3 linked regions of the Notamacropus eugenii genome follow. The main gene of each other region encodes a partner of the protein of the gene in region 3 in a complex. Links are inferred from orthologs where the notes say so. Each region holds a gene or a part of one and is shown on either strand. Other genes may lie near its edges.

Region 1 (7,944 bases), on a different chromosome or scaffold from region 3:
TATAATATTAAAAGAGACCTTTTAATATTTTCTGGATTCTTTTCCACATTAGGTGTGGCCCCAAATTCTACCAGTGACAATAATGAATCAATTAATTAAACAATCAAATTAAGATGTCAACAATTAATCCCTAAAATAACAAAACGATTTAAATCTTTTTTTTTTTTTTTATGTCTAAAAAGCTACCAAGAGGGCTAGGAGGCTTTTTGCTAAGCACCTACTATTTAATGTGCCTTGATCTTGGTCAGTGAGTTTTTTCTTTTTAAATTGATTTCTTCTGTAGTACTATATAGAAAGTACTGGATGCTCAGAATGTAAACAAAAATGAAAAACAGTCTTTGCCTGTTAAGTAACATACAGTCTCCTGGGAGAAAACAGCACATACAAAACAGGCATCTCTAAGATCATTTGAAGTGAAGGACAGCCCTAAACAGCCAGGCAGGACAACAAAGACTTCCTCTAGGAGGTGGTACCTTTGAAGGAAGCTAAGGAGTCAAACAGGCAAGGGGAGGAAAGGTATGCATTCCAGGCACAGGGCAAGACATACTGTTTGAAGAAGAAACAGCTAGCACTCCAGATTAGCTGGAACATTGACTGCTAGAGAAAAAACAAACCAAAAAACCCCAACCAAATCCCAAAATAACAACCAAATACTTATAAAGAACATTTGTGAGTCTTTCACACAAAATCCAGATAACTAAATCAAGAAATTACTGTTTTCTACCTCTACATCCCAGAAGAAACTGCTTTAGTTTTGTGAACACGTTCATTTGCAAGATATCATCATAAACTTCTCCAAACAATATTTTATATTGCTACGTTTTATGTAGTACTGTTGACTGAAGTTTTGTGAGAAAAGGGGATAGAACAAGGGAAAAAGAACATAAAGGACAAAAGGAACTTCCCACAGAACTAAACTTATTGAAATAAGGAAAAGATGTCCATTTTGAAATCACTTGTCTTTTTGAAGACTGAGGCTTTGATACGGTGAGAGTCCTTTATATACTATTTATGTATTTCTACAATGTCTCCCTTTTGACAGGTCCCTCTACAATCAATAAGTATTTCTTAATCATCTACTATATACCAGTCACATGCTTGAGGTAGACAACCCCCTAACTCATCAATGGGTTTGAAAATCCTTGGTTATCCTCAACCTAGTTTGGCCGTTCTGCCAAAATGGTTTACCAGGGTGTGGCCGCTGCGCATACTGCAGCTTCTTGGAGCCACAGGTGAGAGCTGGGTGGAACAGGTGAACACCAAAGGTAGAAAGAGTCCCCAAAAGTGCTCAGCAGCCATCACACCAAGGGTACTAGTCCTCCCTGAACATACCCTACATGTGAAGACTTCCAACGGCCATGAAGGCAGCTGAAGCAGGTGATGTGGAGCCCTTAGAGCTTGGTTAGATACTGAAGACACCAAGGTCATCCATGGCATCCTAAGTCATTGCCAGCCATCTTGACTCTGTCCTGCCACTGAACTATGATGACTGAGGGATAGAGTGAGGCTGACAACTTTGTGCAACTCTGCCTCACTTAAATCCAATTTTCGCATGAATGAAAATACAGTATTGGTCTGATCAGCCACAGTCAGACACACTGAAACTTCATTTTTATCATGGTGATGTCATTTTTGTCCTCTTTGAAAACGAAGGACAACAGCCAACCAACCAACTATATACCAGTCACTGTAATAAGTTCTGGGGATACAAAGAAGGCAAAAGATAATCTCTGCTCTCAGGGAGTTGGCAGTAGAATGCAGGAGATGGCATAGTATGTACAAACAAGCTCTATATTGAATAAATTGGATATAATCAACAGAAGGAAGGCTCTTAAGGGAGATCAGAAAAGGATCCTTGTAGAAAGTAGGATTTTGGCTCTGACTTGAAGCAGATGCCTTAAGACAAAGACATAAGCAATCCCTCTGAGTACACTAAGTGGTTGGTTGGAGACAAGGAAGGAGAGCATTGTAGGTACAGGGGAAAGCCAGTGAAAATACTCAGTGCTCTTTCAAAAAACAAGCAGATAGGCCAGTGGGAGTGGCTAACAAAGTATGTGGAAGTGAGGAAAGGGTAAGAATACTAGAAAGATAAGGGAAGACAGGTGAACAGCTCTGAATGACAAACAGGATTTTATATTTGATCCTGGGTGACAGGAAGCTACTGGAATTTACTGAACAGAAGATGACGTCAAACTTTCCCTTCCCTATTTCATCACTGTTATCTCAATGTGCACTGCATTTTTATATACTCTGAGATCCATTCTCAGAAATGCTTATTAAATATCTTCATCATTTGGTCTCCTATTCTCAAACTTGCAAAGCATATGATGAAGCCTCTTATGCTACTCCTACAAAAAAAACATAAAAATGTGAACTAGATAACAGTGCAGGTAGATTTGGAGTTGACTGAATGGCTAGACCTAAAAGCTAGATTTGATGTGCCTACAGAATAGCAGGTGATTAATATATTTTTTTTTTATCAATGCCTTCTCTGGGATCCAGGATCTACTTGGTTCTGTGAAGTTTAACATAGAACCAAAGATTTAGAATTGGAAGGGAACTTAGAAGTAATCCAGTTCAACACCTTCATTGTACAGTTGGGAATACCGAGATTCTCTCCCTCCCTCCTCCCTAAAGAGTTTAAATAACTTGATCAGGAACACAGATGTTAAGTGGCAATTTAATTCTAGGGACTCTTTCCACTATACCACAATGATAAAGATTTGGTACTATCACTAAATTTACACATGACACAAAACTAGCCGGCAATACTTAGCATCCTGGATTGTCATGATTTAAAAATATCTTGACAGGCTAGAACACTGAACCAAGTCTAAAAAGTTTTCATGGGCATTCAATCCATTCAATTCCAATCCACATTTATTAAACACTTAATTCATGCCAGGGACTTTACAAAGAGCCCGATACAATAATTAAAAAAAAAAATCCCTGCTCTCAAGGAGTTCACAATCCAACTCGGCAATTGGGGGGGTTAGGGGAAGAGAGACCAAGGGGGTTCCCCAGTTCAGGGCCACCTTGGTCCCTGGAGTTGAAACCAGGCACAGCAGCAGATGAAGAGTGGAGTGTGCAAAAGTCCAGTAATAACTATAAAGTGGTACTCTTCCTTGGGTTCAGTGGAAAAAGCACCAGTTTTGGAGTCAGAGGAGAGATCAAATTCTACCTATGTGAACTTTCCACAAATCACATAATCCCACATAATCACATAAATGAGTTTCCTCATTTGTAAAATGAAGAGGCTCAGAGATCATCTTTAGCAGGGGCAGGGAACCTGCATTGGGAAACCAAACTGTTCTTGGATTCAGTCAAAGGGCTGTACTTGAGGACCTTGAGGGCCTCTGTGGCCTCGCCGCTGTAGGTTCTCCACCCCTAATCTTTAGGGTTCTTTTTAATTGATTGATCCCACAACACATTCCTATTATCTTTAGGAAAGGCAGAAACCGACCATTAAAATGTTTAGGTATATGTCCATTTTAAGTTTAAGGAAAAAAAATACCTGGAAGAAGTTGAATTTGAGCCGTTATCATTGTGCATATACTCTTCCAGGTTTGCACTTTGATTACTGATTTTTCACAATTAACAAATTTGTGCAGTAAAATAGATCATAAAATGCAGGGATTATAACCAGCTACAATAAATAATGCTACACACAAATATCTGAGTATTGTTTGTTTATACGTGCCTCCCTCCAACTAAGCTTCTGATTACATATCCATAAAGAAACTTAGAAAAAATAAGGTCTGTGAGGCTGGGACCTAGTTCACTGCTTTAAGACTGCTAAAGAGCTCTTTTGACTGAGATTGGTAATCCCCACACAATCCAGAGAAGCCAAGAATTCTGGCTATTGCTATTACTGTAACTTAACTGCACAGTAAGTAAAACACATCATCCTTCCTAGGGGAGGTAGGATCTTGGACGGAACTTAAAGCAAGCCAGGAAGGTCAGAAGGCATGGGCATGGGAGGGGGAGGGGAGGACAGCCAGAGACAACAATGCCCAGAGTCAAGAGATAGAGGGAATCGTTAGAAGAGTCAAAATAGGTGCAAAACGATTATTTTGCGGGATGCTTACGGGATGTCTGCAGATTGTAAAGCACTTGAGAACCATCAGGTTAAAGCACAGGGATAGGGACGTGGGTATTGGGGGAGGGGGCGAGGCTGAAGCCAACTCCTTCTGGGACCTCAGAAGGCGTCCCAGCACCTTCCCCAGAAACGAACAACTGGATAAACTTCTTTTTAAAACTTTCATATAGTTAAACGACGGGGGGCGGGCACGGGGTCTTCAGCGCATGCCTCGGGAGCCCCACAAACCAAGTCAAAAACACAACACGGAACAAAAGCGCACCGGTCCTAGCTCCCCGCCTCGATCTCCGCACGCAGCCTCTGGGACCCTCGGAGCTGGCGGCCGTCCAACCACGCCTTTCCCCAGACTCCGCTCGAGCTTTCCGCCGCCTGCAGGGACGAACGCGGAGACCTCAGCAACCCCAACGGTTGAGCCTGCGCACCGAGAACAACCAGTCGCTGGAGGGAAGTGCGGGTGGGAGAGAAGGCTGGAGGCCCGAGGGAGGGTGTTGTCCAGGGCAAACTACAAGTCCCAGGAGGCTAGGCTGCGCGAGGTCGGAGGAGCCGCGGGGCCTGTCGGAAGTTGAAGTACTTCGACCAGGAAATACCGCCCCCGCCCATCCCCCATCCGCTCTCTCCCGCCAAAGGGAGAAGCGGTTTGATCTGTGAAGATGGCTCTTCCTTCTTGTACCTAGGGAATCGCTCCGGCGGCCCCTTCTGCCATGAAGCTGTCTCCTTGCGCTCCCATTTTCCTTATCTTTTTTTCCCTCGTCCCATTCCAAACTGCTCCGAACTTTCTTCGTCCCTGAACCCCGGCAAAAGCCACCTTCATCTCATTTCCGCTGACTGAGCTCGGTCGGGTCGTCGCGCACGCGCCCGTGGTGACTGGGGCGACGCTGACTTCCGCTCCCAGAGTGCACCTCGAGCCGAATCATGGACCACACTGGTAAGGAGGTGGAGGGGGGGGGTCTCGTTTACATGGACCCCTCGGCCGGCCCGAGACCCGCCGTCGCCCGGCTGGCGTAGCGGAACCGGGCTCGTCCTGAGGGGATGGGTTGCAGTGGCGAGGGAGGATCTCTACATACTCCTCTTCCCTCCCTTCCTCCCTCCCGGCCGTGCCCAGCTGGGGCCTGATAGACCTCTCGGCCTACACCCCTTCTTTACATCCCCTCCCCCGCTCCGCGCTGCAGCCTCGGCGCCGTGTCGGTCCAGAGTGGGACCCCGGGGCTGCGTGGGGGGCGCTGGGTTCCCCCCGAGGCCTCCTTCCTTTCCGTCTTCGGCGTTTGGCGGCTTGTGCCGGCCGGGGCTATTTCCCGGCCAGTGTAGGGCTTTGGGGAAGGGAGGGGACCTTGGGGAGCCCAACCCTGGCTTTGTGGGAGTAGAGCCACGGGGCTAGACGTCCCCGTGGCTTCCTCCTCCCTCGCAGCCGCCCAGAGCTTCGTTGTCGTCGGTGCCCGTGCGTGTGGTAGCTAGGCTGAAGGAGCCGGATATGATCTCGAGCTCCCCTTCAGCGCAGTCTTTGTGTAAAGTCCCGACCAGACCCTTCTGTCTTCCCCGAACCTCGGCTTTTGGGCTGTGTGCGGTTGGGAGCTTCCTCATTTTGGACTCTGCGCTAACCAACAACCCCTTCCTCTCTCCAGCCGCGGCCCCTTGGTGAGCCAGGCTTTTTGTTTTCTGGGGCGCTTTGTGAGCAGTGCTAGTAGGGTGTCTGTAGTCCGTGAAGTAAAATACCGTGCACTTACTACGAAGTCGTGTCCGTTTCTCTGGGACCCCCTGGACCCAGCGCGTCCGGACTGCCCGTGGGGTTTTCCGGGCACAGATTCGGGAGTGGTTTGCCGCTTCAGGTGAAATGACTCCCCAGGGTGTGTCCGAGGCCGGATTTGAACTCGGGTCTTCCTTACTCCTGGCCCATCTGTCTACCCACTGAGCCACCTGTCTGCTTCGACTGCTAAAGTACTGATAAAGCTGAAGTCTTGGACTTCGTAACAGAGAAGTGCCCCCCACCCCCACCCCCCAGAGAGTAGCAGAATTTTTGCATTCGACGTTGGAAGTGAGATATTTATTTGGAGGCTTGTGTGTGTTTTAGGTGAACCTAGTATTTTTAAATGGACCCTGAGAAAAGTGAAAGAACAGTCACGGATTGTTTTCTTATCGCAAGTTCTGCGCTCCGTGTAGGGCTATTTCAAAGGAAACTTGGTGCTTGTAGTGCAGTAGAATGTGAGCTCCTTGAGGGCAGGGACCCCGTTCTTAATTTTGTTGTTAGTTTGTTGGTTTCTCCAAATGTGCCTGGTAGGTAGGAAGCATGGAAGAAATGCTTGTTGACTTACTGACTTACAGTGAGAAGTGTACCCTATTTGTATATTGTAAAACCCTAGTTTTAGAAAACATGGGTACATATATCGTCTAGTAAATGTTGTATTTATGAGAACGACTTAAGACACAGAAGGGCAGTTGAGTAAAGAACAGGCTTTACCAGCTGCAGCTGTAACCCCAGTTGTGTAGTGTACAAAGACCTGCTAGTAGAGGCTTTTCAGCTTCATACAAAACTAAAACTATGGGCAGTATTCAGTTCAGGTAGGGAGAGGTAACAGTAATGCATACTATTATTAGAAAAACATAATTTTGACTTTCTAGCAAAGTTAGAGGTGAGGTTTTATGCCAGGAAAGAACCAAACTGAAAAGTCACTGGCCAACAATTCTCTTTACCTGGCTGCTCTTTTGGAAGTTTTTAAATGCCTTCGCTAGGAAAAGTAACAAAAATGAAAAGTGAAAGTGAAATAAGTTGATTTGGTTGAACTTTTAATGAAAGGTGTTCGGTGAAATGGGAGGAAACTTTGGGCCATTAGCGATCTTTTGATGTGTTTGATGCTATTTTTCTCTCTTACCCTTGTTATTCTTGTCACCCTTGTTATTCTTGTCCCCATCTTATATTAAAATCATGGCTTGTTACAAAATAGTTGTTATAAAATAATGCTAAGAAACTGGTAATGAAAAATATTTTGGATTATTTTGTTGCCATTTTACCTCTTGGAATTCTTACCATAAACATTTCCTGATCTTCCCAATTGTTGATACTTCCCTTCTCCTACCCAAAATCACTTTGTATTTACTTATCTATGTATGTTATAAATGCTGTATAATAAAAAGCATTTTAATAAATACCTGTGGATTGGTTATTGATTAATGTTGTACCCCTTGTTCCCTTTCCATAAAGGCAGGGAGTTTTCATTTATGTTTTTGTTTTTGTGTTCATAGTTCCTAGCGTATAGCAGGCATTTAGTAAATGCTTCTTGAAGTGCATTGTTTAAGGTTCAGTTTTGAATCTCCCCCCAACAAACAATCATAGATTCCTGTTGATCAAAAGAATGAATTGTAGGATTGAACATGAGTCTTTAATGATGAGAAACCTAGAAATAGGTCTCGAAGTTCAAGTCCAACTTAATACCTTCAAGCAGGCTTTACCTAAATACATTCTGAACAATTCTAGTTAGATGTCCTAAAAATTTTCAGACAGCACAGTAACTTACTGAAGTGCTTAACAAAAGTAACTGAAAAAAATCATTTTAATTAACTGAAATTTGGCTTAGTTAGTAAAAAGTAACATCTTTTCCTGTAATTGGGAAGTCATGCCTCAGCCTTAAACAGTTTTTTCTGGGGAATAATATTTGTGTTAGGCATTTAGAAATGCATAATCTCTCTTTGCAATCCATGTGTTTTGGAAGTGAGGCATTTTGTTCTTTTTACAGTACTGAGCTTTACAGGTAACTGGGTAAATATGTGATTTACGGGGCTTGGAAAGCATGTTTTGGTCTAAGACTTAGTTGACTTCATAGCAACATTATACTTCTCTTAATGTTTTTTGGGTG
Region 2 (7,687 bases), on a different chromosome or scaffold from region 3:
GGCAGCAGCAGCAACATCCATTTTTGGAGCCCTTGGCCTAAAGAACCTGGGGGAATCCACTGATCTGGATCTCAGCCCTGAGTGGCAGTCCTGGGGTGAGGATGAGCACTGGCTGGTAGAGCTGGTGGAGGCTCTGGACAGAGAATTCTACTCACACATCCTGGGCAGAAAAGCTTGGGGTTGCTCCCAGACCAGAGCACAGGCCAGGAGAGAAGTAAACTCCTCTCCTTTAATTGTGCCACCTTGGAGGAACTGAGAATTTACAGGTCCCTAGAGTATACCCTCCACTTGACAAGCACTCAGAAGTCAAGTAACTGACTGGGAAAATGCCCAGAAAAGGGAAAAAAAAATAAGATTATAGAAGGTTACTTTCTTGGTGAACAGGTATTTTCTTCCATCCTTTTGGATGAGGAAGAACAATGCATACTATCAGAGGAAGACATAAGAGTTAAGGTTTCTGCATCCAAAACCTCCAAAATAAATATGCAATGGATAGAATTGCGTGGTGATTCTATCAGGCCATGGAAGAGTTCAAAAAGGATTTTGGAAATCAAGTAAGAGAGGCAGAGGAAAAATTGGGAAGAGAAATGAGAAAAATGCAAGAAAATCATGAAAAGTGAGTCAACAGTTTGCTTAAGGAGACCCAGGAAAATGCTGAAGAAAATAACACCTTTAAAAATAGACTAACTCAGATGGCAAAAGAGGTTCAAAAAGCCAATGAGGAGAAGAATGTTTTAAAAAGCAGAATTAGCCAAATGGAAAAGGAGGTTCAAAAGCTCACTGAAGAAGATAGTTCTTTAAAAATCAGAATGGAGCAAATGGAAGCTAAAGACTTTATGAGAAGCTAAGAAATTATAAAACAAAATCAAAGAAAATGAAAAAATAGAAGACAATGTGAAATATCTCATTGGAAAAACTACTGACTGAAAAATAGATCCAGGAGAGACAATTTAAAAATTATGGGACTACCTGAAAGCCATGATCAAAAAAAGAGCCTAGACATCATCTTTCATGAAATTATCAGGGAAAACTGCCCTGATATTCTAGAACCAGAGGGTAAGATAAATGTTGAAAGAATCCACGAGTCATCTTCTAAAAGAAATCCAAAAAGGAAAACTCCTAGGAATATTGTAGCCAAATTCCAGAGTTTCCAGGTCAAGGAGAAAATATTGCAAGCAACCAGAAAGAAACAGTTTGAGTGCTGTGGAAATACAATCAGGATAACACAAGATCTAGTAGCTTCTACCTTCAGGGACTGAAGGGTTTGGAATGTGATATTCCAGAAGTCAAAGGAACTAGGATTAAAACCAAGAATCACCTACCCAGCAAAACTGAGTATAATGCTTCAGGGGAAAAAATAGTCATTCAATGAAATAGAGGATTTTCAAGCATGTTTGATGAAAAGACCAGAGCTGAATAGAAAATCTGACTTTCAAACACAAGAATGAAGAGAAACATGAAAAGGTAAACAGGAAAGAGAAATCATAAGGGACTTACCAAAGTTGAACTGTTTACATTCCTAAAAGGAAAGATAATATTTGTAACTCTTAAAACTTTCTTCAGTATTTAGGTAGTTGTAGGGATTGTACACACACACACACACACACACACACACACATATAGACAGAGGGCACAGGGTGAGTTGAATGGGAAGGGGTGATATCTAAAAAAATAAAATTAAGGGGTGAGAGAGGAATATATTGAGAGGAAAAAGGAAGAAATGGAATGAGGTAAATTATCTCTCATAAAAAAGGTAAGAAAAAGCTTTTTTTATAGAGGGGAAAAGTGGGGAGATGAGAGGCAAAAAGTGAAACTTACTCTCATCACATTTGGCTTAAGGAGGGAACAACATACACATTCAATTTGGTATGAAAAATCTATCTTACGCTACAGGAAAGTAGGGGAGAACGGGATAAGTGGGATGGGAGGGATGATAGAAGGGAGGGCAAATGGGAGGAGGAAATAATTAGAAGTAAGCACTTTAGGGGAGGGACAAGGTCAAAAGAGAGAACAGAATAAGTGGGGGACAGGATAAGCCAGAGGGAAATAGTTAGTCTTTCACAACATGACTATTATGGAAGTTCAGGACTATACATGTATGGCCTATCTTGACCTGCTTGCCTTCTCAGTGGGGATAGGAGGGAGGAAGGGAGAGAAGTTGGAACTCAAAGTTTTAGGAACAAATGTTGAGAATTGTTTTTGCATGCAACTGGAAAGTAAGAAATACAGATAATGGGATACAGAAATCTATCTTGCCCTACAAGAAAAGAGAGAAGATGGGGATAAGGCAAGGGAGGAGTGTGATAGAAGGGAGCGCAGGTTGGGGAAAGGGGTAATCAGAATTCATGGTGTTTTGGAGTGGAGTGAGAGGAGAGATAGGGAGAAAATTTGGAACTCAAAATCTTGTGGAAATGAATGTTGAAAACTAAAAATAAATAAATAAATTTTTTAAAAAAGGGAAGCTGCCAGACTTCAATCTCAGCTAGAGCTTCTGGCTTAGTTTCTATCATCTACCACTCTCCACCTTGATTTACTGACACCCTAAAATAGTCCCTTCTCCACATTCTCTTGCTGCCCTCAGTCCCTGCTCAGGTACCCTCTTTCTTTGTTTTTCCTTTGTACACTAACTGAAATTTGGGTCCTCTCCCAACCCCTTCCACATTTAATACTGTTGCCAGAATAGTCTTTCTTACCCTAACATGGTGCTTGGCTATCCTAATTGGAAACTAGCTCTCCCAGAGCATTATTTCCAGACTGCGTTAGCTCCTGGAGACCTTGGAAATCAAACCCTTATCAGAGGTATTTGATGCAAACATTTTTCTAGTGTCCTATTTTCTCAGTTGAACAGATTTGGTCAATGCAAAGGTTTTTCAACCTAATATAATGAAAATGATCTTTGTACGTGTGATTTCTGGTTAAGAATTCTCTTGCTTGCTGTAGCTGTGAAAGCTTCCTAATCTTGTTCTTTTTTCATTTTTTTTTTATGGTATGACCTTGAATCTTCAGGTCATGTAGCCATGTTGAGTTTATTATGCTATACAGTGTACCCGAGTTAGACCATTTTGGGGGAGGTTAAATTGCTTTTCGGTTTTCCTAGTATTTCTTGCCAAAAACGAAATCCTCCCCACAAGTAACTCATGCCTTTGGTTGTATCAAACACTAGGCTATTGACTTCAGTTGTGTCTGATTCTTCCTTATGGAGCCTGTTCCACGGGTTGACTTCTCTATTTCTTCATTAGCATCAAATTGCTTTGATGGTCATTGCTCTGGTAGAATATGAAATCTTAAATTCTCCATTCCTACTTTTTTCTTTGTCAGTATCCCCTTGACCTTTCAAGCCTATTGTCCTTCTAAATAAATACGATTTTATTTACCTCTATGAAGTGTTCGCTGATCAGTCTGTTATAGCCCCCAACCTCTAGACTGATTAGAACGGTATAGTCATGTTTATTATATTGGCCCCGTCCAACCATGGGTAATACACGCCCATCCAATCACTCTTCTCTTTAAAGAGTGCTGTAATTAATACACATCTGGAGTGTGCCTTGATTCTCGGGCTTCCTCTTGCCGTTGTTACTGCTGTGTAGACGCGCTGTGCAGATTCCAAGAAGGGAGAGGAGCGTCCATGCCCTGAATGGGGGACAAGGGGGGAAGATGGGGCACGGAGCAAGCCTCCGAAATGCCACCTGGAGTCTGCGTGTCTGGGGAATTAAGAGCCGCTCGGAGCTAGGCACAGGACGGTGCCCCCACAAGAAGACATCCAGAAGGAAGAGCACGTGCGAGGAGAGGCGGAGGCAGAGTCCGAGCTGCCGGGTGCGAGGCGAGACCTTGCAGGCAGTGTAGACACACGGGTCTTTCCTTCACTTAAATTCGGTTAAGTCGGCATCCACTGAACCAGCATTACGGACAAGGACAAGTGACCTCCGCTCCTCAAGGCTGTTCCTCCTCTGTAAAATGAGGCTGGGTCCCGCGGCCCTGCGCACTCTAAGTCCGCGGTCTTCGATGGTCAGCAGACTGGCCGCCCACAGTCCTGCCCAGGCTGCCTCCGGACCGCCCAGGCATTCTTCAGGTTCCCTCTGAGACGATCTCTGACCTCAAGGTCTGCCCAAACTGCACACGCGGCGTCTGCCCCGCGTGTAGCACCGAGCCGGCAGCGGGCGTTTCTCATTTTGGGGCGCTGTCGTGTTCCCCGCTTAGCACGGCGCCTGGGGTGCAAGGGGCACCGTGGGGGAGGGGGGCCGGCCCGACGCAGTGATAACCGGGGGGACCCGGAAAGGGGCTCCGAGGCTCCGGGCTGGGCGTCCGTCAGGGGCGGGTGCTCCCGGCAGACACAGAAAGCGGATCCGGAGGGGAAACTGAGGCCCGGAGGGATGGACGGACCCGCTCCGGGTCAGGCGGCCGGCGAGTGCCCGCACCGGGCCTCAGCGGAGAGGACGGGGCTGCAGGTAAAGGCCTGGCAGCTCGGACGGCACGCGGGACCCTGGAATGACCGGCGCTGAGCCCCAGGACCGAGGGCACGGGTCCGAGCCTGCGGCGGGCCCAGGCAGCGCAGCCCCGCGGGGCGCGCCCCCGAGCGAAGCGGGCACGCGGAGAGGGAGGGGCGGGGGAGATCCGCGCTCCGGCCACGCCTCCTGACCAGTGACGTCACGCCACCGCGCACGCCCCAGCGCCGGCGAGGTCGTGGGGAGGAGGCGGGACTTCCTGGACCGGAAGCGACGAGCCGGGGAGCGTGGAGTCGAGCGGGTCGTTGGGGCCGGTCCTCGGAGGGGACGCGGGCCGGGAAAGGCTCAGCCTCGGGGAACCGCCTGTCGCCGAGGGAGGCCCTCGCCCTCCTGCCCTGTGAGAATAGCGGCGGCCGGGACATGGACAGCCGCCTCCAGGAGATCCGGGAGCGGCAGAAGCTGCGCCGGCAACTCCTAGCCCAGCAGGTGAGCTCCGGGGCGGGGGCTCGGGGCTGTGCTGCCCGTACACGCGGCCGCCCCGCGCATGCTCGCTCTGCGCATGCCCGTCCCGCCCATGTCCGCCTCCTGTCTCGCCGCGCATGCCCGTCCCTCAGGCCCCCCTCCTCTCCCCGGCGCGCATGCTCGCTCTGCGCATGCCCGCCCCGCTCAGGCCCGCCCCCTGTCCTCGGCCGCTCTGCGCATGCCCGCTCCCTCTCTCGCCGCGCGCGCCCGCCCCGCTCAGGCCCGCCCCCTGTCCTAGGCTCCTCTGCGCATGCCCGCTCCCTCTCTCGCCGCGCGCGCCCGCCCCGCTCTCCCGGGCCCCGCCCCTCGGTCCCCTCCTGTTCCTGTTGGCCGCCCTGCTCCGGTGGCCGAGGTCCGGCGTTGTCCCCTCGGGCCCTGCTGGCCGCCCCTGCCTCCAGGAAGCCCTGGTGATCTAGCCTCAGTTTACGCCCCTGTCAGTGAGGGGCGAGTTAGCCCTGGTGGAAGTGCGGGCCTCGGGTCGCAGAGACAGCGGCCTGCTGGGAAGGGCGGGCCCCGCCTCGGGCTGGGAAGTGGGGGTGCCGGCGCCGAGCCCCCCGCGCGCCAGGGAGGGCGGGGGCGGGGAGGAGGCTCGCCCAGGCCCTGCCGGCCCGCCGGGGTCCGGGGCGGGTTCGAGCTCGGGTCTCCCGTCCCCCGGCCGGCGGCACCCCGCCGGGCTCAGCACGGAGCCTCGGCCACCCGAAGGAGCCGGGTCTCGGGCCCCTCCCCCCAGCGCGGACTCTGTTAGGGCCATTTGTTGAGCTTTTCGTTTTTAGGGTTCTTTGCAGGCCCCGGATTCCCTGCCCCCCAGGGCCCCCCGCTGTGCTCGCCCCTCCGCTCCCTCCCGGGACCCCGGACGGAAAGCCTGGCCCCAGGTGGGGCCACGGGTGGGAGCCCTTCCTCCTGCCGTGGGCTCTCCCCCGGTCTCGGGGGCGGTGGAGATCCTGCCCTGCCCGCTGGCCCTGGCATGTGCCCCTGAAGAAGCCCCCCGGGCGGCCGTGCCCCCGCTCTCTTCCCCCGCCCCTCCCCTCCCCGCTGGGCCTTGGGCACCGCCTCCTGGCTGCCCCGCTCCTGCCCTGGCTTGGCCCTGCCATCCGGGCCCTCAGGACTCTGCCCTGGCCCTGCGGGTGCTCTCCTCTGACTGTCCTCAGCTCTCACGGCCTCTGCACGTTCTGGTGCCTCTTGGCCCCCCGCTGTGCTCACCCGGGCTTCAGCTTCCCCCCTTGGGGGGTGTCGTCTGCCTCCTCGAGAGCCGAGGCCGGCCTTTGCTTTTGGTCAGTGTCCCCAGCACTCAGCACCCTCCTGAATGTGCCCTGGTTCAGAGTCCAGCCTGGCACGTAGTGTGCTGACTTAGTGTCCGCTCCCCCTCTGAGGGGGCTGTCACCCCTGAGCAGTCGGGCTACCCCCGCCCAAGGCTGGGTGCCCGCTCCTGGCCCAGCCCGCTGTCTACCCTGGCTTGCGGACAGCTCTTCTCCCCTCATGGCTCCAGGCTTGGCTGCCTCTTGCCAGGCGTGAGGCAAGAGCCAGCTTCCTCTCATCTGCCAGTGGGCTTTTTCTAGAGTGGTCAGACCTGGTCACTGCTCAGCGAGCTCCGAGCTTTAGATTCTTTGTGCCCCTGTCCCTTCCTGCCTTCCCAGTCTGACTGCACCTTACTGCCCTCCTGCACCTCTGCCATCCCTGGGCGTTGGCCTCGAGCACACCCTCTGGCGGCTTCTGCTCCGCATCTTTGGGCCAGCGTCCCCCAGGCTGCTGGGCTCTGCCTCCTGGTCTCTGCTGCCTTCTTTCCCAGCTTCGCTCCAGGCCGAGTACCTTCTGCAGGAAGCTTTTCCTGATGCCCTCAGCTGCTAACGGCTTCCCCAGTGACATTTACCCATCATCTCCGTTGGAGCACACCCAGGGCTGGTTTTTGCCTTTCTTTGTCTTCCCAGCCCTTCGCACAGTGCCAGGCACATAGCAGACCCTATTGAATGGACCGATAGCAGATGCTGACTTATCTGATCATTCTCTGGCACTGGTTAAAGAGAAGTTTAATTAGTCACTATCCATGATCCTGGTGACCACTGACCAGAGTCCTCAGCTGCGTGCTGTTAGAACGTATAGTGATGAGGGATGGGAGACCCAGGGCTCCTTTCTCTTCTCCTCAGCCTGTATGACCTTGGCCAGGTCCCTCCCCTTCTCTGGGCTCCAGTGTTCTCATCTCTTAAATGAGTGAGTTGAGTTTGATGATGTCTGCACATCTGCCCAGCTTTGAAATCTGCTGCTGGGATCTGCAGCTCGGCCTCAGAAGCCCATCAGCTGGTAGGCCAGGTTTGTAATCAGCTCATGGATGACGTCTACACTGCAGCACCCTTGTACCTTGCTTTCACTCCTCTGAACTAACCACATTTACATGGGACACCTTTTCACTAGGATTGACTGCATAAAGCTGTTTGCCATCGAACATGCCATTCTTTACAGAAAGAGCCTTGGAATCCCGTTGATCGTCCTTCATTAGGTGCTGAATCTGCCCTGGTTCAGAGTCCAGCCTGACATTCTGTTGGGTCTCGGTCCCTGGCTTCAATAGGTCTCTGGCACAGGACCATGTTTACTCTAGAAAATGACTGACTGGGGGATGCCCAAGGAGAGGAAACTGGGGGCTTAGGGCTGGAGGGACCTCAGGGGCATCTGGTTCAGCCTCTGCCTTCCCCAGAAAAGAGGCAGCAGACCTGAGATGGGGTAGCTTGTCC
Region 3 (7,236 bases):
CTTTCTATTCTGGGGAAGCTAGACAAGTACAACAGTATTGGGGAAAGGCAGTGTCCTAGTTTTCAAAAAATGAAAGAGAATGTAGTCTGCAGACCACAGGCCAGTAAGTTTGACTTTAGTCCCTGGAAAAATTCTAGAACAAATTGCTAAATATTGCCATTAGAATAATTTTAAATGCTTGGTGAACATCCAGAAATGGAAGTAGGGATCACAAAGAAACAACATGGTTTCCTCAATAACAGGTCATGCCAAACTAGCCCCCTTTCTTTTTTTGATGGGAGTTTACCAGACTGGTTAATTGGGGTAAATATAGGGTAATATATAACAAAAAGATTTCAACAAAACTTTGGCCAAAAATCTTTCAAGTGATTCTTATGGACAAAACAGAAATATGTGCTAGATGATACTGCAGTTGGAATTACTAATATTTTTATGTAAACTTGGGAGGAAATCTTTAGTGGAGTGACCCCAGAGATCTGTGCTTGGCCATTGAACTTAACCACTAATTTGCCATGATCAAATTTGCTGAGAGCCAGGAAGCAGACAACGAGCATACTCTGATCTGCAGGGTGAATTCTTTCCCTGCCTGCAAGTTTCTTGATGTCCAGAATCATTTTGCCCTTTCACTCTGTATGTAAAGCCACATACTCCATGGGAGCATTAGAGACTAAAAATCTGACCTGGGAATTTTTTTTTGCCTTGTGAGTCCAATATGAGGCAGTATTGGAAATGATCCCCTTCTTCTCTGATAATAATATAGCACAAAAAAAGTGAGATTTAAAGAGTCCCATAGGAGTTTTAGGACTTGCATAAGCCAGGTTCTAAAACATGTGTCACTGACTCCTCTTCTGACAGTGACAGCTCACATTAGAGGATTGATGGCCTAAGCAGAATACACAGTTGGGGTGTCCAGCCATGTATCCCCCCAATTCTTGAAAACCCAAGGTTTGTTGGACTCGACCTCATCTTCAAAGCTATATCCCATCATCAGGACTGGTGACCCATAGCAGTAGGAGTCATTTAGTAAGGCCCTGAGCTGTAGAAGTCAGAAGCCATCAGGTACAGCATTGATGGCCACAACGATGGGTCCCACAGTAGACACAACATCTTGGAGGGTTCTCTCAGCACTTGAAGGAAATTTAAGTAGCTAAGCCAGCATTGTTGGCAACAGATAATTCTGCCTTGTACTTAGATTCTTTTCTTGGCCATGTACAAGCAGGAGTCTTCAGAATCAATGCCCCCCCTTCTCTTTGACATACTGAGAAACCCCCATTATAAACCCATGTTCCCCTGCTTCCAACTGCAGGCCCCCAGCCCCTCTTGCTCACTCACAGGTAAGAAGATGGTGGGATGTAGTCATGTCCTCTCCAGTTTGCTGCTTTGAAAACCTCCACAAAGTTGGATATGGATATTACAGTTGGGGTTTTCTTTCTAGATGATTTGTAGCCCTGAATCTTTTCCATGAATTCTTCCTTGGTCGTGTCAGCCAAACTGGTTCATGGCCAGTGTGTAAGTGGGTTAGTCCATGCTGTCTTCCATGCTGTCCGCTTCATTTTCTCTCCTGAAGGAGACGATGCCAAGATTTCCACACCTTCCAGTGAATGTCCCTCTGGATAAAATGAGGGGCTCCCAGGGTCAACCCCAGACAGTGCAGCCACTAAGAGAGAAAACTCCATTACTGATGCTGTTAACAAAAAGCCTGGAAGGGAAGTGTTTTTTCTTCTTTACGTTACTGATATTTGTTCCTATTTCTACTGCTTCAAAGAGTGACTCGTTTCCTAGGGGAAGTTTGTGACCCTTGTGACAAAGTGAATCATCTTTGCTTTCCATTCCATGTTCTCCCAGTGATTGGGAGCTTAGGTTGAGAAAGGCTTTGGAGACAAATTGGTTGTTCCGCCTTGAGTACTAGCTTCTAACTGGCTTGAATCGAGCCATTAAAAGACATCTCTGGGCTATTACTAGCTTTGGTAACACTTCCTACTGTATATGCAGGTGCTGCAAGGGACGGGAAGTGATGACAAAGTTACAAAGACCATCTCTGCAACTTACCTTTTGCAATATACCTTTCCTACTATAGCATATAGACAACTTTTTAATAAAGTGCACAAAAAGTGTCCCTTTCAAAGGAATCTTGGTATAACCTATGTACAAATGAGACAAATGACAGGTTTGTAGCCTTGTGGTGCAGTGGATAGAGCCCCTGGCCTGGAGTCAGGAAGACTGAATTCAGACTGAGACACCTACTAGCTGTGTAACGTTGGGTAAGTCACTTGAGTCTGTTTACCTCCGTTTCCTCATCTGTAAAACTGAAGGAAATGGCCAAAGTGTCATGAAGAGCTGGACATGATGGGAGCAACTGAACAACAAATATTGTTACCTAAGGATCCTGGCATAAGATTAAAGTATTCATGTTGAAGAGCCACGCATTTGTACGATTCTAAGGCAGGGTCTGAACCTGAAGTTTGCCCTCTGACCTAAGCATGCAGAGGAGAAAGTGAACTGGCAGAATTCTGGTGCTGTAAGATGTTCTGGAGATCGAAGTCAAGCCCCTCATCGTGGGGGGGGGAGGGCCAGAGGGGTGGGAGGCTGTTCTGGGTCTTCATGCTGCCTCTTGTTATCGCTCTTAATAACTCATCTAAAAGGGTGAAAAACCTTACCACTAGAGTCTCCATCAGTTCTCAGGAAACTGTCTCCTCAGGTAGCCCAGCGGATGGGCAGGGGTGGAGCTCATGCCTGCAAGCACCCGTAGCTGTTAGAAATCCTCCGTCAGCTCCTATCCTGTCCTTGAGCCATCCTCAGCGTAACCCAACATTTATATTTCAACACATTTGCCTCTGCCCCTCCGAGGCCACCCTCCCACTCAAAATAAATTTAGGAATTAATCACCATACGCCACGTTGGCAGTACTGGCTCAGAGCGCAAGTTGTGCCAAGCTGTGTGACCTCGGTGGATTCCATTAACGTTTATAACATGTAAGGATGACTTCCGTGACCTCTTAGGTTCAGGCTTTTTATAGACTAGAGAGATGTGAGGGATGAGCTTAGACTGAGCACTCTCCCTCTGGCCTGGCACTCCAACGTTCCTCAAAGCACGAACCCATTCATGATCTCAGGACCTCTACGGTGCCAGCAGAGAAGGGATGACGGGACTGGCACTTCACCTTGTGTTGAGTGAGGGAGGGCTGTGCGGGTCACCAACCTCACTTCTCCCCCAGAGCCACCTGGGTCCAGGGACCAGATACTCATCAGGATGGCTGGAGGTGACCCAGGCGGAGGCAGTTGGGGTAAGTGACTTGCCCATGGGCTCACAGCTAGTGAGCGTCGTGTCTGAGGTGAGCTCTGGCCTCGGGTCCTCCTGCCCCCTGCTGTGGTGCTCTGCCCACCGCACCACCCGGCTGCCCCTAGGATGCCTACAGGCAACAAAAAAAAGTTGAAGGAAGTGGGTGGAAACGCGCCTGCTGCGTGCGGGACAGGCTTCAGCGCCCGCGCCCGTCGGACCGCCCCGGCCCGGCTCCGGCCGTGAGAGCGGGGCCGCAGCGTGCGGGCGGGACCACGGGCCCGGGGCCTCCCCCGCACCTCGCCCCCTCCCCCAAGGGACAGCCGCGGTCCGACCCCGCGGCGTGGCCAGCCCCTCCGCCTCCGGGCACCCCCGGTGCCCCGGCCGGGCCGCGGATCGGGGGGCCCCTCCCCTCCCCCCTCCGGCCGTCCGGACCCCCAAAGATCACGGTGTAAGACCGAGGCAGCGGAGACGGGGTCGGGAAGACTCCGACTGTAGGACCCCGGCACGTCCCCTCACCCTGTCTGCCTCCGCTTCCTCATCTGTACAATGAGCTGGTACCTCTGCCAAGAGAACCCCACGGGCCGCCACACGGCCCGACCACGACCCGTCCGACCACGCTGGTGACGCGCCTGGCCGCCCTCAGCACCGGCGGGGCTCACTCGCGGCCGAGGTGACCGCCGGCGCCCAAGCCGCGCCGGGCCGCTGGGTTCACCCTCGGCCGGCAGGTGGCGCCAAAGCCCGCGCTCCAGTCCAATGCGACGGCGTCCGAGCCCGGGAGGGCGGGGGAAGTGACGTAAGGGCGGGGGGCCGTCCCGTCGGACGTGCGCCAGGCTGCCCCCCGCGCCGGCCGCCGAGCCGCGCGCCTTGATGACGTAGCCGCGCTGTCCCCGTCCCGTCCCCTCCCCTTCCTCCCCCGCCTTTTCGCGGCCGCCGCGCTCAGTCCTTTTGTCCAAGATGGCGGCCCGGGGGGCGCTGCCTCCTCCTCCTGCTCCTGCTCCGGCCCCGGCCCCGCCGCCGCTGCCCCCGCGCCGCTGCCCCGTCGCGCTGTGAGGGAGGGGGCCCGGCCAGGCCCGGCCGGCCTCGGCGCCATGAAGCGGCAGAGCGAGCGCGACTCGAGCCCGGGGGCCCGCGGGGCGTCGTCGTCGTCATCGTCGGCGAAGCGGCCCCGGGAGCGGGAACGGGATCGGGATCGGGAGCGCGGGGAGCGGGAGCGGGAGCGGGGCGAGCGCGGGGAGCGGGAGCGCGGCGAGCGCGAGCGGGAGCGCGGGGAGCCCGACTGCGGCAGCGGCGGCGGGGGTCGGCGGGCCGCGCACAAGAGCTCCAGCTCCGGCTCCGCCTCCGCCTCGGGGCCCGCCAAGCACCAGGCCCCGGCCCGCGCCCGCGACAAGCCCCGCGGCGGCGGCTCCGGCTCCGGCGGCGGCCACCGCGAGGGCCGAGGCTCCGGAGACTCCAACCACCGCGCGGGCGGCGGAGGCCGCTCGGGGGGCGGCGGCGGCCGCGCCAAGGCCGAGCCCGGCTCGGCGTCCGCCTCGTCCCCGGGGGCGTCCCCGCTGCTGCTGCTGCCGCCGCTGCCCGAGCCCCCCGCGCCGGCGCCCGCCCCGCCGCCGCCCGCGCCCGCCCCGCCACCGCCGCCGCCGCCGCCCGAGTACAAGACGCTGCTCATCAGCAGCCTGAGCCCCGCGCTGCCGGCCGAGCACCTGGAGGACCGCCTGTTCCACCAGTTCAAGCGCTTCGGCGAGATCAGCCTGCGCCTGTCGCACACGCCCGAGCTGGGCCGCGTGGCCTACGTGAACTTCCGGCACCCGCAGGACGCCCGCGATGCCCGGCACCACGCCCGCGCCCGCCAGCTGCTGCTCTACGACCGGCCGCTCAAGGTGGAGCCCGTGTACCTGCGAGGCGGCGGCGGCGGGAGCAGCCGGCGCAGCAGCAGCAGCGCGGGGGCCGCCGGCACGCCGCCGCCCGGGCCGCCCGCGCCCGCCGACCCGCTGGGCTACCTGCCCCTGCACGGGGGCTACCAGTACAAGCAGCGCTCGCTGTCCCCCGTGGGCGCGCCCCCGCTGCGGGAGCCCCGGGCCCGGCACGCGGCAGCCGCCGCCGCCTTCGCCCTGGACGCCGCCGCGGCCGCCGCCGCCGTGGGCCTGTCCCGGGACCGGGCCCTGGACTACTACGGGCTGTACGACGACCGGGGCCGGCCCTACGGCTACCCGGCCGTGTGTGAGGAGGACCTGATGCCCGAGGACGACCAGCGGGCCACCCGCAACCTGTTCATCGGCAACCTGGACCACGGCGTGTCCGAGGTGGAGCTGCGCCGGGCCTTCGAGAAGTACGGCATCATCGAGGAGGTGGTGATCAAGAGGCCGGCCCGCGGCCAGGGCGGGGCCTACGCCTTCCTCAAGTTCCAGAACCTGGACATGGCCCACCGGGCCAAGGTGGCCATGTCGGGGCGGGTGGTGGGCCGCAACCCTATCAAGATCGGCTACGGCAAGGCCAACCCCACCACCCGCCTGTGGGTCGGAGGCCTGGGGCCCAACACCTCTCTGGCCGCCCTGGCCCGGGAGTTTGACCGCTTCGGAAGCATTCGGACTATTGACCACGTCAAAGGAGACAGCTTTGCCTACATCCAGTATGAGAGCCTGGATGCGGCCCAGGCTGCCTGCGTCCAAATGAGGGGCTTTCCCTTGGGGGGGCCGGAGAGGAGGCTCAGGGTGGATTTTGCCAAAGCTGAGGAGACCAGATACCCCCAACAGTGCCAGGCGACGCCGCTCCCGGTGCACTATGAATTGCTCCCTGAGGGCTACACCAGGCACCGAAATTTGGAGGCCGACCTGAGGGTCCGAGATAGGACTCCCCCTCACCTTCTCTACTCAGACCGGGACAGGACTTTTGTGGAGGGCGACTGGGCCAGTCCCTCCAAAAGCACCGACCGCAGAAATAGCCTGGAAAGCTACAGCCGTTCTGTGCGCAGCCGCAGTGGGGAGAGATGGGGCAGCGATGGGGACCGGGGCCTGTCGAAGCCCTGGGAAGAAAGGCGAAAGAGGAGGAGCTTGTCCAGTGACCACGGACGGACTGCCCACTCACCTTATGAGGAGAGAGGCAGAACCAAAGTCAGCGGGCTGCCCTCAGACCGAAGCCCCGAGAGGCTCCGGAGAGAAAATCACACGGGTGAGTCGGGGGCAGAGAAGGAGCCCAGCAACTCCCTGCCCAACAACCGGCACGGGGCCGAAGAGAGAGGCCCCGACGCTCACCAGGTGAGAAAGAGAGACAGCGAACGCAATCATCGAACCGAGGTAGAAGCGAAGCCCATGGAAGAGCCAAAACCCGAGACCAAAAAGCTCAAGACTCTGTCTGAGTACGCTCAGACCCTGCAGCTGGGCTGGAACGGGCTTTTGGTGTTGAAAAACAGTTGCTTCCCCACTTGTATGCACATTCTAGAGGGGGACCTGGGAGTAATCAGCGGCCTCCTCAAAGACCATGCTTCAGGGAGCAAGCTGACACAGCTCAAGATTGCCCAAAGACTTCGACTTGACCAGCCCAAACTGGATGAGGTCACTCGGAGAATCAAGCAGGGAAGCCCCAATGGTTATGTGGTGCTTCTGGCCACTCAGGCTTCTCCAGGAGGGCCTGGAGCAGAGGGGACCCACACTGTGGAGCCGGGTTTGCAGCGGAGGCTTCTCAGGAATCTGGTCTCATACTTGAAACAGAAGCAGGCTGCTGGGGTGATCAGCTTGCCAGTGGGAGGGACCAAGGGCAGAGACAACACTGGCATGCTCTATGCCTTCCCTCCCTGTGAATTCTCCCAGCAGTACCTCCAGTCTGCTCTGAGGACATTGGGGAAGTTAGAAGAGGAGCATATGGTGATAGTTATAGTAAGAGACACTGCCTAGCCAAAACCTGGCTTTTCCCAGTCTTGTGTTTTCTTTGTGTCATGAAAACAGTTATTTTTAAAGCCAATTCTGC

Evidence for each region.
Region 1: RBM15B (region 3) and CBLL1 share a complex: the UniProt entries of both Homo sapiens proteins name them as parts of the WMM complex. The link is inferred for Notamacropus eugenii from reciprocal best matches to the Homo sapiens genes RBM15B and CBLL1.
Region 2: RBM15B (region 3) and METTL14 share a complex: the UniProt entries of both Homo sapiens proteins name them as parts of the WMM complex. The link is inferred for Notamacropus eugenii from reciprocal best matches to the Homo sapiens genes RBM15B and METTL14.

The regions. Positions count from the first base shown.
Region 1 is NC_092874.1:147,685,521-147,693,464, reverse strand, and holds the start of CBLL1 (E3 ubiquitin-protein ligase Hakai), read left to right. Parts: upstream 1-4,935; 5' UTR 4,936-5,011; coding exon 5,012-5,024; intron 5,025-7,944. UniProt on the Homo sapiens protein: E3 ubiquitin-protein ligase that mediates ubiquitination of several tyrosine-phosphorylated Src substrates, including CDH1, CTTN and DOK1. Targets CDH1 for endocytosis and degradation.
Region 2 is NC_092878.1:165,436,004-165,443,690, reverse strand, and holds the start of METTL14 (N(6)-adenosine-methyltransferase non-catalytic subunit METTL14), read left to right. Parts: upstream 1-4,678; 5' UTR 4,679-4,862; coding exon 4,863-4,928; intron 4,929-5,301; exon of another isoform or gene 5,302-7,268; intron 7,269-7,687. UniProt on the Homo sapiens protein: The METTL3-METTL14 heterodimer forms a N6-methyltransferase complex that methylates adenosine residues at the N(6) position of some mRNAs and regulates the circadian clock, differentiation of embryonic stem cells and cortical neurogenesis.
Region 3 is NC_092872.1:3,418,329-3,425,564, reverse strand, and holds the start of RBM15B (putative RNA-binding protein 15B), read left to right. Parts: upstream 1-4,323; 5' UTR 4,324-4,358; coding exon of another isoform or gene 4,359-4,367; coding exon 4,368-7,163; 3' UTR 7,164-7,236. Other genes in the region: uncharacterized protein, read right to left, coding at 3,157-3,409, 3,796-4,323, 4,359-4,369. UniProt on the Homo sapiens protein: RNA-binding protein that acts as a key regulator of N6-methyladenosine (m6A) methylation of RNAs, thereby regulating different processes, such as alternative splicing of mRNAs and X chromosome inactivation mediated by Xist RNA.